2 linked regions of the Chlamydomonas reinhardtii genome follow. The protein of the gene in region 1 interacts with the protein of each later gene in a pairwise test. Links are inferred from orthologs where the notes say so. Each region holds a gene or a part of one and is shown on either strand. Other genes may lie near its edges.

Region 1 (6,408 bases):
CTTTGCCACTACCCCCTGAACTCATGCACTAACCCGCACAACACATGTAAGGTGTTTCGCCACGCCATTTACGTCGTCCCGTTTAACGAGCACAGGCACACATCCGCACGTTCCCGTTCAACCATGTGCTCTCAAAAAGTACACGCACATCGCACACATTCCTAAGCGCTTTGACCTGCCCATGCCGCCCACCTGCGCGGTGAGCATCTCTGGGTCGGGCGGCGGGAAGATGTTGAAGGCGGACACGTTGATGCACGCCATCTGGGTGGTGGCAGCCTCGCCCGCCTGACAGGGCAGCAGGTGAGGCGTGGGGCAGCGGGCAGTGGGCATGGGGCGCAGCAGCAGTCAGCAGGGGGGGCGGCACCAGGCATCATGCACCACGCAAGCGGCTGGTGACGCGTGACACGAAAGGTTAAAGGCCCCGGCGTGGCGTGACGCGACGAGAGCTTGACTGAAGACCGGAATGCTTCGCGGCGCAACAACAACAACAAGAACAACAACACGGCGTTGCTGATGATGAATGAAAGCCCCTGTGCGGCGTCCTTCTGCAACACACACCACAATGCGCTTCTCTTGCGCTTTACTCGGACACACGAACACCCACCTCGTGCGCCTTGGCTGCCTGGTCCAGCAGCTCCCGCGCCGCCCGCGCCTTGTCCGCGCTGTGCCGCGCTGCCGCACCCTTGAGCGCGCCGTCCGCCACGTCGCTCGCCTCCAGCGCCCGCGCACGCAGGGTTTCGTAGGCGTGCATGCGCCCGTGCATCTCCTCCTCGGCCTGCAGGTGGCGGGGTTGGCGGAGGCGTGTGTATGCGTGTTGTTGTAAATATCCAGTACCAGCAGGGCGTTTGCGTTTGCATGTGTGTGGTCAGGGCAGGATTTGCGGCTAAGGCTATTGCCCATTGCTGCCTACCAACACAACCGTGACACCCACTCAAGACGCGCAAGCAAGACACGCCCAACTCACACACACACACTGTGCATGACGCGACTGCGCACGCGGCCTCACCAGCTCAAAGGGCGGCGACGCACCCATCATTGGCGCCGGCAGCACCTGCACCTCCGGCCAACCTGCGGAGTCCTGCGGCACCTGCAGCAAGCAGGCGGACGCACGCATACACACACAAGACACACACGCATGTAACATTGTGCAGCTAACCAAGCTTGGAGGTGGGGTTGTTTTGAGAGGAACGCACACAGAGTTCTGCACTGTCGCCCGCATTACCCGCGCGCCCACAGCCGCCTTTCCCCGCCCCGTCTGCCTGCCTTCAATGTTGACACCCAACTCACCGGCGGCGGGCGCAGCGCTGATGGCGAAAGCATAGCCAGCAGTGGGAACACGCCGCCCTGCCAGAAGCTGCAGCCGCCAAAATAAAATCACAGTACCAGCATCACAGAATGTCCAACAGCCACCAACTGCCTTTTCATGCATGTGTTCGCCTCTGTTGCAGGGTGCTGCCTACACCAGGACCGCTTGTAAGGCGCCATTGTGCCTCTCCCCGTGCCCCCCGCTTGCCCCGTGTCACCTCTCTCACGTTGGCATTGGACCAACTACTCATGGCAACAACTCCCGCGGCCGCGCTCGGCCCCCGTGTCCACCCCCACGCACCTGTAGCAGCCGTCGACCAGCTTGTTGGTGCGGCCATTGAAGCCACCCTCCATGGAGCCCTGGGGGCGCGGGGGATGGGGGAGAAAGCGGCAGAGGGAGGCAGTGTGTGTGTGTGTGGGGGGGGGGAATTAAGAAGTGAAGGCGTAGTCAGGTACAGTAGTATAGCAGACGCGTTGTGTGTGTGTGGGGGGGGGGGGGCGGCAGGGCCCGTCAGCTACGCCACCCGCATCTCGTATTACGTACTGAGAATAAAGACAACCCCACCCCCACCAACCTCAAACCTCCACCGACCGCCCACGCCCCCACCTGGCGGTGCACCAGCCAGTGTAGCAGGCGCGGCACGTCCAGCGTCGCCGCCAGCAGCCCCGGCCCGCCCGCCAGCACCAACGCCGCCACGCCGCAAAAGGTGTAGCCGCCGTGCGCCTCGTTGCCCGGCTCACCGCCCAGCCCACCCTCGTAGGTCTGGTGGTGGCAATGGAGGGCAGTGTGCGCGGTGTGACGGTGCCACGCAATCCCCAAAGAGCGCAGCTGTCAACTGGAATCATCTCCCCCGGCACCGCCACTCCGGCACTGCCCGGTGCCGCGGGCCGCCAATGCCAAAGCGCGTGCTCGCATGCAGCCGCACCCCATTCCTCCCACCTTCCAGCTCCCACTGCCTGCGTTCCGCCCCGCCCCGCCCCCTCCCCTTCCATGCCCCCGCCTCTTCATTCCGGCTCTAAAATCTTGACTACCTGTGCACCTCAACCCGCTCCTCCTCCCCAAACACACACGCACCTGGCACGCGCGGACGTACCCCGCCAGCCCGCTGCGCGCCGCCAGCTGTTGCTTGTCCGCGTCCAGCCCCAGCATGTGCGCCACCGCCATTGCCGTGTAGCAGGCGCGCAGGTCGCCCTCGCCGCCTGGAGAGCGAGAGCGAGAGCGAGAGGGAGAGGGAGAGGGAGAGAGCACGGGCCACGGGGAAGAGGGAGGGGAAGCGGGAGCAGAACAGGGCAGGGCAGCACAGGGTAAGGCCGCGTGCGTGGAATGGGCGGGATGGTTTGAAGGACTGACAAAGCATGGGTCTGGAAAGACGTGCATGGAGGGCTGGCGGGCGCGGGTTTCACAGGGGAGATGAGAAGGTGGGCGGGTCGTGTGAGGCAGCGGGTGGGCTGATCATGACCTGGGTGATGCGCTGGTGACCCATGGGCGACTGGAACACAAGGTTTGCCCATCCAGCCTGGCCAGCCAGCCCCTCCGATCCACCCCAATGCCTCCCACTTGATCGCTTACCCTCGTGCACGCTAAAGCCGCCTCCCTGCTCTGGAGGGATGCACATCCGCAGCAGGAAGCTGCGCACGGCCGCGCGGTCTATGGACCCCAGCGCCTTCCCGCCTACAGTCACCGCGGCCGCGACAGCTGCGTAGGTGGGCGCCAGATGCGCCAGCTGCATCGGCCCGCCACCATAACCTCCCGCCGGATGCTGGCAGCTTTGTAGGAAGGCGACAATATCGTCCGCCGTCACATCTTTCGGAAGCGGGGCCCCCAGCAGTGCCAGCGAATGGACCAGCCAGTATACAATCCATGTCCGGCTCGCATCCAGCACCGCAAAGCCAGAGCTCAGCTGGCCAAGCCCGCTGTGCAGGTAAGCGACGTGGTTTTCGCGATGCAGAACCAAAAAGTCATGTATCTCCTCAGCGTCCTGGATTCCTTCTAGGTCCTGGTAAAAGGGCAGCAGCTTTTTCTCAAGCGCATTTTGTGTTTTCGAGGTTGTCGTGGGCAGCCCGTCCTCCCACATCGTTCTTGGCTTCTGACAAGATAATACTACAGTTCTTTACCTACATTTACACAGCAGAAACGAGTCCTGCAAGTCCGTGGCTGTCGGAGTTGCCTAACCTGTAAAATGGCAGCTCTGCCGCGTTTCATTCCCGTGCGTGGCCCCGGCGTGTGCCGGTCCTGCCTGCTTTGCCCGCCGCCACCACGATCACGTCACTCCTCGTAGACAATGAAAGCCACAGTTGAACCCGTAGGGTGCACGCGCGGGCTGTGCATGGCTGGCGGCCTGGCGCCATGTCACCCTGACCTCCCCTGTCCCTAACAGGGTGTGTGATGGGACAGGGTTCAAGGCAGGTTGGCGAGGTCCCACCACATATCCGCAATGCGTTGGAAGGAGTTCGAACCCGGAGGGTCCCTACTTGGAGCACGGTAGTCCAATAGTCGAGATCAGGGTGGAAAGCGTCACCATTCAGGATGCACTGAGATGCACGCCGGTTGGCGTTGCCTCGTTGGGCACCTTTGCCAGGCTTTGGGATTGGCATTGCCAGCCGGTGCCTACGGTATCTAACGCCAGCATGCAGACTCCAGACATCGGCTTTGTATTTGTCAATTTACAGGGTAACCCCGACGCCAGCGCACTGCGACGCCTCTCACCCTCTCAGTCTACACCTGACACCACCTTGCCTTGCACACTTGAACCACGCACGAAATCCTCCAGTCACCCACCTTACATGACTCATGTCCCAGACACAACCCCTCGGCTCACATCCCAAAATTGCCGGGCTAGGGTCTTGCCTGCCACCGCCTACCACCTGCGAAGCAGTCTGTCATGCAAACATGCCGACTCTCCGCCTCAACCTACCGCAACCGGTAGTCAAGAGACGCCGGTCCTAACCACGTGCTGGCCCTTAGGTTCTGAGAGCCCATGGTAAACCGACCCGTGCTGCACTCAGGCGCGGAACGAGCCAACGCACAACGCCTGTCAAGCTCGCCTCCGGCTGCGGCTGCTGCCAGCTGTGCAGCGCCATTGGCTAACCGTGTCCTTCAGATCTGCGCAAACGCCGGCCTGGCCATGCGTGTATACTCGCAAGCGCTTGAGGCGCTTACTTCTTCTTGCCAGCAGCGGCAGCGGCGGGCTTCGCCTTGGGCACGCGCTCCTCGAACATGCCCTTCGCCTTCAGGTTGTCAATCCGCTTCTTCAGCTTCTCCTTCTCGTAGTCCATGCCCTTGGCGGCCATGTCCGCGACCTGGCATTTGATAAAGAGACAGCAGCAGAAATGCCTTTGTGAACCAGGCCCCGGTAAGGCAGAGCCCGACGCCACCGCGTAATGCGCTGCAGCCACGCCATTTCCCCGCATTGTGAGCCTAAGAGCATGAGCAACCAACACTGCAAAGCCCAACGCTGTGTCCCGCCACGCAAACTCACCAGGGCTTTGTGCGCCTGTGGCCAATCGTAGCCACGACGAGCATGCAGCGCAACGGGTGGAAGGGCAGAACCGTAAGCGCCGGCATTGCAGGAACCCTCAACTACTCAGCTTAGAGCTGGACAGCACGCCTCCAAGCTGCGTGGTGCAGCATCAAACCCTCCTGCCCGAATCCTGGCTCAAGCCCAGTCAGAACCTGTGTCACTTGCCCAGTTCGCATTCCGGCACCCTGCCCACCTTCTTGGTCCACTTGGTCTTAGCGGCCAGCACCTCGGCCTTGCCGCCGGCAGCCTCAATGGCAGCCTTGGCAGACTCCGAGAAAGCGGTGGCGTGCACGTTCAGCGACTTGCTCAGGCTGCCAGTGCCCAGCACCTGATGCAACGATGCAGCGAATGAGAGCACGATGTGAGCACGAACCCTGCTTGACGAGGTCTTCAAATGAAGAAATTCCCGTATGCATGTCCCGCGATCCCAGTGTTGCCTGTCCAGCACCTAAAGGCTCGCAACCTGACGCCTGCGTTGTACATGGCCCACCGCCAGTCAGCCCCTTTGTGCCTAGGCCAAGTACGCTTACCTTCAGGGGTAGGGAGGCATCGCGGCCGCTGATGCTCTTCACCTTCTCCTTCACGGCAGCCAGGGTCACGTCCTCGCCAGCGTTGAAGTGCTTCTCCAGGTCATCCAGGTTCACCACCACGAAGTCGGGCAGGCCAGCGCTCATGCCTGTTGAAGCGCCAACACAGGACACCGCAGCAGTCAGTCCCCACGTACACGCGACCTATTCCCGTGGACCCGGAGCAGGCCAGGCCTGCTCTTGCCCCAAACCCCTGTGCGTGTCTGCCACCCATGCCCGCGACACGAGTCACGCGCGCGGACTGCTCCGGCCACAGCCACGTCCACAGGCATCAATGCCTTGCGACACGCTCGCGCAAGTCCCGTGCCGCAAGTCCACCGACCCAGAACATCTCCGAGGAGCAATGTACAATTACAGGCACTGGCTTCTGGTTCCCGGCGCGTCACCAGCTCGGTCGAGTGGTGCCCTCGGCAATTCCTGAGTTCAGCCACAAAATGCCCCTCCAACTCAAGCGTCGCTTTGCCAAACCGATGCCCAGCCGTGCGTGCCCGGCGTAACTGATATACGCAACCTACCGCCGGCAATACCACGCAGCTTGGGCAGGCGGCGGTAGAGAGGGGTCTGGCCACCCTCAAAGCCAGGCCGCACGCTGGGGCCCGAGCGCGCCTTCTGACCACGGTTACCGAAACCGCAGGTGCCACCCTACAAATACAGGAAGGCGGCAGGTCGCATAGTTGAGCTGCGAGCACCACCCACATTCTGCGCCGCAAAAGCCTCGTCCCAGTCCCGCACCTGGCCAGCAGCATAACCACGACCCTTGCGCTTCTCATCACGCCGGCTGCCGGGCTCGGGGCTCAGGTTGTGCAGGCGCAGGCGAGCATCCGAGGACGCGTTCACCACAACAAGAGAGCGGGGCTGGCGAGCCGCCGTGAAGGGGCGCACCGAAGCGCGCGAAGCCACCTGAATTCCCATAGAATGGAAGATAGCTCAATTTGCAGCTTTGAGGCCTTGAAAGCTTGGAGCTACACGTTGCAAGCCACCGCCCGTTCGCACCT
Region 2 (6,264 bases), on another chromosome or scaffold:
ACGCGACAGGCCAAATTGCGCTTGCATGCACGCACCCGCGGACAGGATCACAGCGGCAGCAGTGGCCTTGGCCTTCTCCACAATGGACGCCTGGCACTTGACAGCCGAGCGACGGCCGCTGCTGGTGAAGGCGCGAGGGGCCTTGGGGGTAACACGGAGCGACTGCATCCTTGTATCGGTTGAGCAAGTGCGAGCAACAAGCAAATCAAGTGTAGTAACTGTATGTAAGCAACCGCTCTGTTACAAGTTACGTCGCACCAAACGAGTGTCAAGCCCGGCATTGGATTGGAGGTTGTGGCCGTGCCATCCCCCATGAGGTCCACACGTCCTCCGCGGCTGCCCGCTTGCCCCTCCTTCGCGCCGCGCCGCCCCTCTCGCTCTCCATCCTACTTCCACCACCTGCCTCCAACAATTACCATCCAAGAGCCCCATGCCACAAGCTCCCCTGGCCCTTGCACCATCATGCTGAACGCAGCACGCCTGTGGCTAAGGCCACCACATCGTTAAATCCGCGCTGGCGGTGGAGCCAGTACGGTGTGCGCATGGGGTCGGCCACACTCGCCTCGTCCAGCGCCGCCTGCATGATGGCGGCAGCAGCAATGTCCACAGCAGGTGCAGGTGAGCGGGCTTGGGACAGTCATTGAGAAGAAGATGCCGATCGAACGGCGCGTCACACGGCGTGTGGGGCTCTCGCGTGTGCTTATCGCAGTCCCTTCGCTGCCGATGTATTGCGCTGCCACACGTACTGCAGCAGGGTAAACCCCACCACGGTAACAGCAACCATGTGTGACCTCGGTCCTCGCCAACAAACCCCCGCCTCCTAAATGAGCCCCGTCACCATTACCTCCCGCCCATGATTGTTACCCACGCACTCATCATACCCGGGAGAGTCATCCACCATGCCCCTCCATGCGCTCTCATCCCCACCGCAGCCGCCCACGCCCACCTGCGCCAACTCGCATGCCATGATCGTCGCCGCCACGCGCCCCGCCAGCACCACCTGCACGCCCGCCTGCGCCGGCCCCGGCGCCACCGTCGCCGCCGCCGCCGCCGTGTCCGCCTGCGCCGCCGACAGCGCCGCCTGCCCCTCATAGAACAGCGCCAACACGTCGTAGGCGGGGCCGCAGGAGGGGCAGTCGTTCAGCGCCTCGCAGCACAGCGTGTGGACCTCGGCGCAGCGCGACAGCGAGCGGGGGCTGCTGGCCCAGGGCTCCAGCGAGGCGAAGAGGCCGGTGAGGTAGCGCCAGGGCGACTCGTTGCGCGGCGCCTTCTGTACGGCCGCCGCAATGTACTCCAGCTCGCTGTGGGGTGGGGGTCAGCGGGTTGGGGTGGGGGTTGGGGGTTGGGGTTGGGCAGGAGGCGGGGGCAGGAAACAAGCGAGGTGGTGGTTAAGTATGAGAGCGAGGCATGGGGCGACTGAGGGGCGTGCGGGTCAGAAGATGGTGAAACAACCCTCGCCTCGCCCCTCGCCCCATGCCACACGCCCCCGCCCGCCCCACCTGCGCAGCCAGCCTGCGTCGTCGCCTCCACCCTGGAGCCTCAGCCGCGCCTCCTGGCCCATGGCCTTCCACACGAACATGCGCTGGTTCCAGGCGGTGTTGTTGCGCACGTCCCGCCCGATGAACTCGTCCGCAAAGGCCAGCTCCGCCTCCCACAGCCCCGTGATCTGGGCATGAGCAAGGGGGGGCAGGGTGGCGGAGATTGATTGGACAGGGCCAGGGGCACAAAGTAAATGGCCTGCAAGGTGGTGAAAAAGCAACGTGGCTGGTATGTTTTAGGATAGTTGCCCTGCCCTGCCTTGCCAGGCCTTGCAGGCCTTCGTGCCAGGCCCCCTCCCCTACCTCTGCACTCTCCTCTCCCCTCCCCCTCCTCCTGCCCCTGCCCCCGCTCCTGCCGCCGCCGCACCTTGACGACGGCCTGCCTGTGCGCCCAGGCGTGGTAGTTCTTCTCGTCAAAGATGATGGCCTCACGCGTGAAGGCGTCCTCACGCGCGGCGCAGCTGGGGCCGATCTACGACGGGATGCGACCAGGCCAACAGGGAGGGGCCTCACTGAGGGGCCTCACCTCTCCCACCACATTCACTTGATCCTGAAACTACCCACTCCTTTCCTTAATCCCTCCCGCGCAAGACTCGCTACTGCTGCCTGCCTCCAGCCCTCCCTCCCTCCCTGCCTCCCTCCCTCCTCCCTCACCGCGCCCGCCACCAGCCTCCTGTGGTTCCACAGCTGGTAGTTCTTGGCGTTCTCCAGCATCACCCCGTGCGTGAAGTCCAGCTCCGGGCCTAACGCATCAGCACCCAGCTGCTGCACACACAGCCACCTGGGCGGATGGGGCGACGCGGGAGGTGGAGGAGGGGGAGCCAGAAGAACACAAGCACAGAGTATGGACCGAAGCATAAACCCGCCCCGCCCCGCCACCCACCACCCCTCTGCTTTCCTCCTGAACATAAACTCCTTTACTTTCGGCCCGCTCCCACGGAAAGTGGTAAACCACACCCACTTGCTTGGATGCGCACTGGCTATGTGTACGCTGGCATGAAGAAAGAAAACACATACACATACACGCACACGCACACGCACACGCACACGCACACGCACACACACGAACGCACACACACGCACACGCACGCACCTGACGCGCCACGCGGTGTAGTCGGCCTGGTTGAGTCGGATCATGTCGGCGGTCAGCGCCAGCACGCGGCCGCTCAGCTCGCCGGACTGCAGCACCGCGCGCCAGTACCCCAGCGCCTCGGCGTGCTCGGCCGTGTACTGGATGGCCACCACCTTCTCCGCAGCCGGCAGCGACACCGGCGTCACGTCCGCCCACTCCGGCCGCCGGGAGTACGGCAGCGGGCCGGCGGCGGCGGCGGCTGCGCCTCCCCCCGACATGCGAGCAAGTGCTGTCAAGCTGTTTGGCTGGCTGTGCGGCTAAGGCGTGCTTGCCGTCCGCGTGTGCTGACCCGCTGCTGCTAGGTGCGGCGCTGCGTGAGCGGCGGCTGCGTTGAAGGTGAGGGCCTGCCCCTATCGCAGTGTGTGGCGCGGCGCCTCAAACAGCCAGCTGCACCCGCAACGGTCAGGTGGCGCAGGGTGCGCGAAGGTTGCAGGTCGGGATGAGAGCGCATGGCGGAGGGCGGGTGGAGCGGAGCTGTCGACACGCGCAAACTGATGTTCTTGACAGCAACAAGAAAGTTCAAGTACAATGGCAGCAGCTGCAGCAGTCATCAGGACTGCGCATCAGGACACGGCGCAGCGGCACATTCCCATCAAAGCCCCGCTGGCCGCCACAGCCCCAAGTCTGGACTGCTGCCGCAGCGGCTCCGGCAGTGCCCGAGCACTTACTCGTCCTTCTTAATCTCCGCCCGCAGCTCCGCGAGCTTCTTAACGTTCTCGGCCACAAGCTCTGCATGCATTTAGGCGGTAGGGCGGTTGGTGAGGGCGGCGCCATCCCGCGGACGCCGGCGCCCCCGCCCTCTTCTCCAACCCCTCGACTCTTGCAGCAAGGCGGGAGATGCCAGAAGCAACCCCGCAAGGCGTTTACGTCTGCTCTTCTGCACCTTTCAGGTGCGCAGAGGGCTGCTGCGTGCCGGCAAACAGGTCTGTGGGGGCCACCGCAGAGAGGAAGGGGTGTGTTAGTGGGCTGCCCCGGGCGCGACGTGATTCCGGAGCACCCTGACGTCAACCTCCTAGATGCGCTTCAGAAGTCGCAGTGCAAGTTCCTCACTCTTGCCAGGAACGGGAGCCACTGCGGTGGGCGTAAAGTAAGCTGCGTACTGTGGCGCTCTGGCGCCCGGCTGCGACATTCAGGCCTCAAAGCACTTAATTACGGTTTTGGAGCAAGGTAATGCTGAATGCAAGAGTTTCGGCTTCGTCAGGCCTCGATTTGAGAAACCAGCTGAATCCACTCAGCCCATGCCGGAGCCAAAATTCGAGCGACGAAAAGCCAGGACAACTAGCTCCCGTGTATCTTGAGTTTCTTTGTAGCCTAGTTCAATCAACGGGTCTGAGCCTTTGCTTGCAACTTTTCCTCCGAACACGTTTTACACGCACCTGCAACAAGGCCAGTTCTGCGACGGCGAAGGCGTGATCAAGGTAAGGTGTGTTAGCGACAATACAAAATTGCATTCAGGCGTCTGTTGCTTTGTTTGGCGGGGGAGTCGTCGCCGGGCGGGCAACCGTGCAATGCGGGCTTCCGCGCCACGGGCGACCGCGCGTCGGTGTATGCTAGCCGACCAGTGCTATCGCCGTGTGAGGTTCCGGCAGAGCATGACGCCAGCTCCGCGTCAGTCGGCACTACAGTGCACTCGCTGCCACGTCCGCCCGCCGACTGGGACTCGGGCGGAACGTTGACGGCCGGACGCGTCCAAGCTCAACGCTGGCCGTGCATCCTTGCTGCCCCCACAGGTTTGTGCAGCACCTCCACGAGCGAACGCCAAGGTCTTTGCCTGCCTCGCTCCGTCCCCAGCCGTCTAAGTCACAGCAGCCAGGCGCACCGGGTATCCCGCCGACCGGGCCCGTTGTTGCCGCAGCCGGCACACAACCATGTCAGCCTCAGCACAAAAACAGCAACCACCACAAGAGCTGATGCCGCCGCAGCGGCCGCACCAGCACCAGCCGACGCGGCCGTCCACGGTGACGCCGGCCGAGCACACTGCCATCGGGGCGCTGGGCGGCACCGTGGAGGTCTGCATCATGCAGCCGCTGGTGGGCATCAAGAACGCGCTGCAGGTGCGCGCGCGTGTGTGTGCATTATCAGCGCGCGACAACAAGAGCAAAAAGATAGGGAAATCGTATTATCTGGCTCCCGACCTCGACACTCCCCCTCTCTCCCCCTCTCGCTCCCTCTCGCTGCTTCCCCGCGGCCCCGCGCAGGAGGGCCGGCCCATCCCGCGCCACCCGGCGCACCTGTACCGCGGCCTGCTGATGAACATCGTGTCCATGGCGCCCATCACCGCGTCACAGGTGCGCGCGTGTGATTGGGTGTGACGGAGTGTGGGTGTGCGAGAGTGAGGGTGGGAGTGTATGTATGTGTGTGTGTGTGTGTGTGTGTGTGTGTGTGTGTGTGTGTGTGTGTGTGTGTGTGTGTGTGTGTGTGTGTGTGTGTGTGTGTGTGTGTGTGTGTGTGTGTAGGTACGGCTGTGACTGCATGCCCACCGCCATACCAGCTGAACAGCGCGTCGCGCAGCCGCCAGTCCCCAGCACGCGCTCCAGGCGCTGCGGACACTCGTCGGGGTCGTGTGGGTGTGCACATGCCGGTACACAAGCAGTGGCTGGCCGAACCCGCCGCCACCCCTAAAACGCTGCGCTGTTGCAACATTGAACCCCTCCTCCCCGGTGTGTTTGTGCGCACACGTCTCGTGTGTTGTGTGTTGTGTGTCGCGCAGTTCGGCACCAACCGGCTGATGCAGACTGTGGTGCTCAACAAGTCGGAGGCCGACCTCACGCCGCTGGAGCGGTTCGGCAGCGCGGGCGTGGCGGGCGCGGTGTCGGCCTTCATCGCCTCGCCCTCGGAGCTCATCATCATCCAGCAGCAGGTGATTTGGGGGGCAGGGGGAGGAGGCACGAGGAGGAGGAGGAGCAGGAGGAGGTGGCGGGGGCAGCGGTAGGTGTGGGTGGCAGGGGCGGGGGCCTGCATGCGGTAGTTCAGGAAGCGAGGTGGCGCATCATGTACAGCGGGTGGCACTGCAGGGTGCGGCCAGTAGGTCGCATGCCGCCGCTCATGGCCTCACGCATTCGCCCGCTGTGCCCGGGTCCGCTCCGCCCCGCTCCTCAGAAAAGTGGGAGATCGCTGTCCGCGGAGACGTCCCACTTCATGCAGACCTACGGCGCCTCGTCGCTCGTGCGCGGCTTGGTGAGTGCCGAGTGCGTGGGCGGGGCTGGGGCGGGGCGGGGGCGGGGAACTGTTGGGCAGGGGCTGGGGGCTGTTGGGCTGGGGGCTGTTGGGCTGGTGCGAGAAACAGCCAGCTGATGTGATGGACCCGGCACATGCGGCGTGTGCGCTCTCACACACACGGCGGGGCTGGGGGCGGGGTCACGGGGCGGGGTCGGCAAGGTGTGTCGTTTGCAGTGGCTGACCAGGCGCGTGCACGGCTGCGAAGTCGGCCGCCTCCCCGCCAGTTTGAAGTCTGTACGACGCCGTGCCTGTACGCCGCCATTGCAGTCAGGCCTTGCCGGGACGCCCGGCCCCCCTCCTGTGCCAATGGCTTGTGCAAAACACATGAAATGAATGTAACCCCCTGCCCCTTCGCGACAGATACCCGCCATCGGT

What was found.
Region 2: the proteins of CHLRE_14g612500v5 (region 1) and CHLRE_01g016950v5 interact in binary tests that used the Arabidopsis thaliana proteins (3 or more experiments, as listed by UniProt). The link is inferred for Chlamydomonas reinhardtii from reciprocal best matches to the Arabidopsis thaliana genes ERA1 and FTA.

What each region holds. Positions count from the first base shown.
Region 1 is NC_057017.1:681,235-687,642, reverse strand, and holds the start of CHLRE_14g612500v5 (uncharacterized protein), read right to left. Parts: upstream 3,448-6,408; 5' UTR 3,381-3,447; coding exon 2,876-3,380; intron 2,506-2,875; coding exon 2,381-2,505; intron 2,069-2,380; coding exon 1,913-2,068; intron 1,666-1,912; coding exon 1,607-1,665; intron 1,355-1,606; coding exon 1,288-1,354; intron 1,088-1,287; coding exon 1,007-1,087; intron 776-1,006; coding exon 605-775; intron 286-604; coding exon 193-285; intron 1-192. Other genes in the region: CHLRE_14g612450v5 (uncharacterized protein), read right to left, coding at 4,462-4,605, 4,785-4,799, 5,020-5,154, 5,357-5,502, 5,929-6,055, 6,146-6,313, 6,407-6,408. UniProt on the Arabidopsis thaliana protein: Catalyzes the transfer of a farnesyl moiety from farnesyl diphosphate to a cysteine at the fourth position from the C-terminus of several proteins having the C-terminal sequence Cys-aliphatic-aliphatic-X (CaaX).
Region 2 is NC_057004.1:2,829,104-2,835,367, forward strand, and holds CHLRE_01g016950v5 (uncharacterized protein), read right to left. Parts: upstream 3,820-6,264; 5' UTR 3,721-3,819; intron 3,596-3,720; 5' UTR 3,554-3,595; intron 3,400-3,553; 5' UTR 3,339-3,399; intron 3,058-3,338; 5' UTR 2,889-3,057; coding exon 2,632-2,888; intron 2,320-2,631; coding exon 2,193-2,319; intron 2,011-2,192; coding exon 1,906-2,010; intron 1,667-1,905; coding exon 1,500-1,666; intron 1,302-1,499; coding exon 947-1,301; intron 578-946; coding exon 461-577; 3' UTR 304-460; downstream 1-303. Other genes in the region: CHLRE_01g016900v5 (uncharacterized protein), read right to left, coding at 36-168; CHLRE_01g017050v5 (uncharacterized protein), read left to right, coding at 4,539-4,724, 4,869-4,958, 5,381-5,530, 5,770-5,847, 6,250-6,264. UniProt on the Arabidopsis thaliana protein: Essential subunit of both the farnesyltransferase and the geranylgeranyltransferase complex.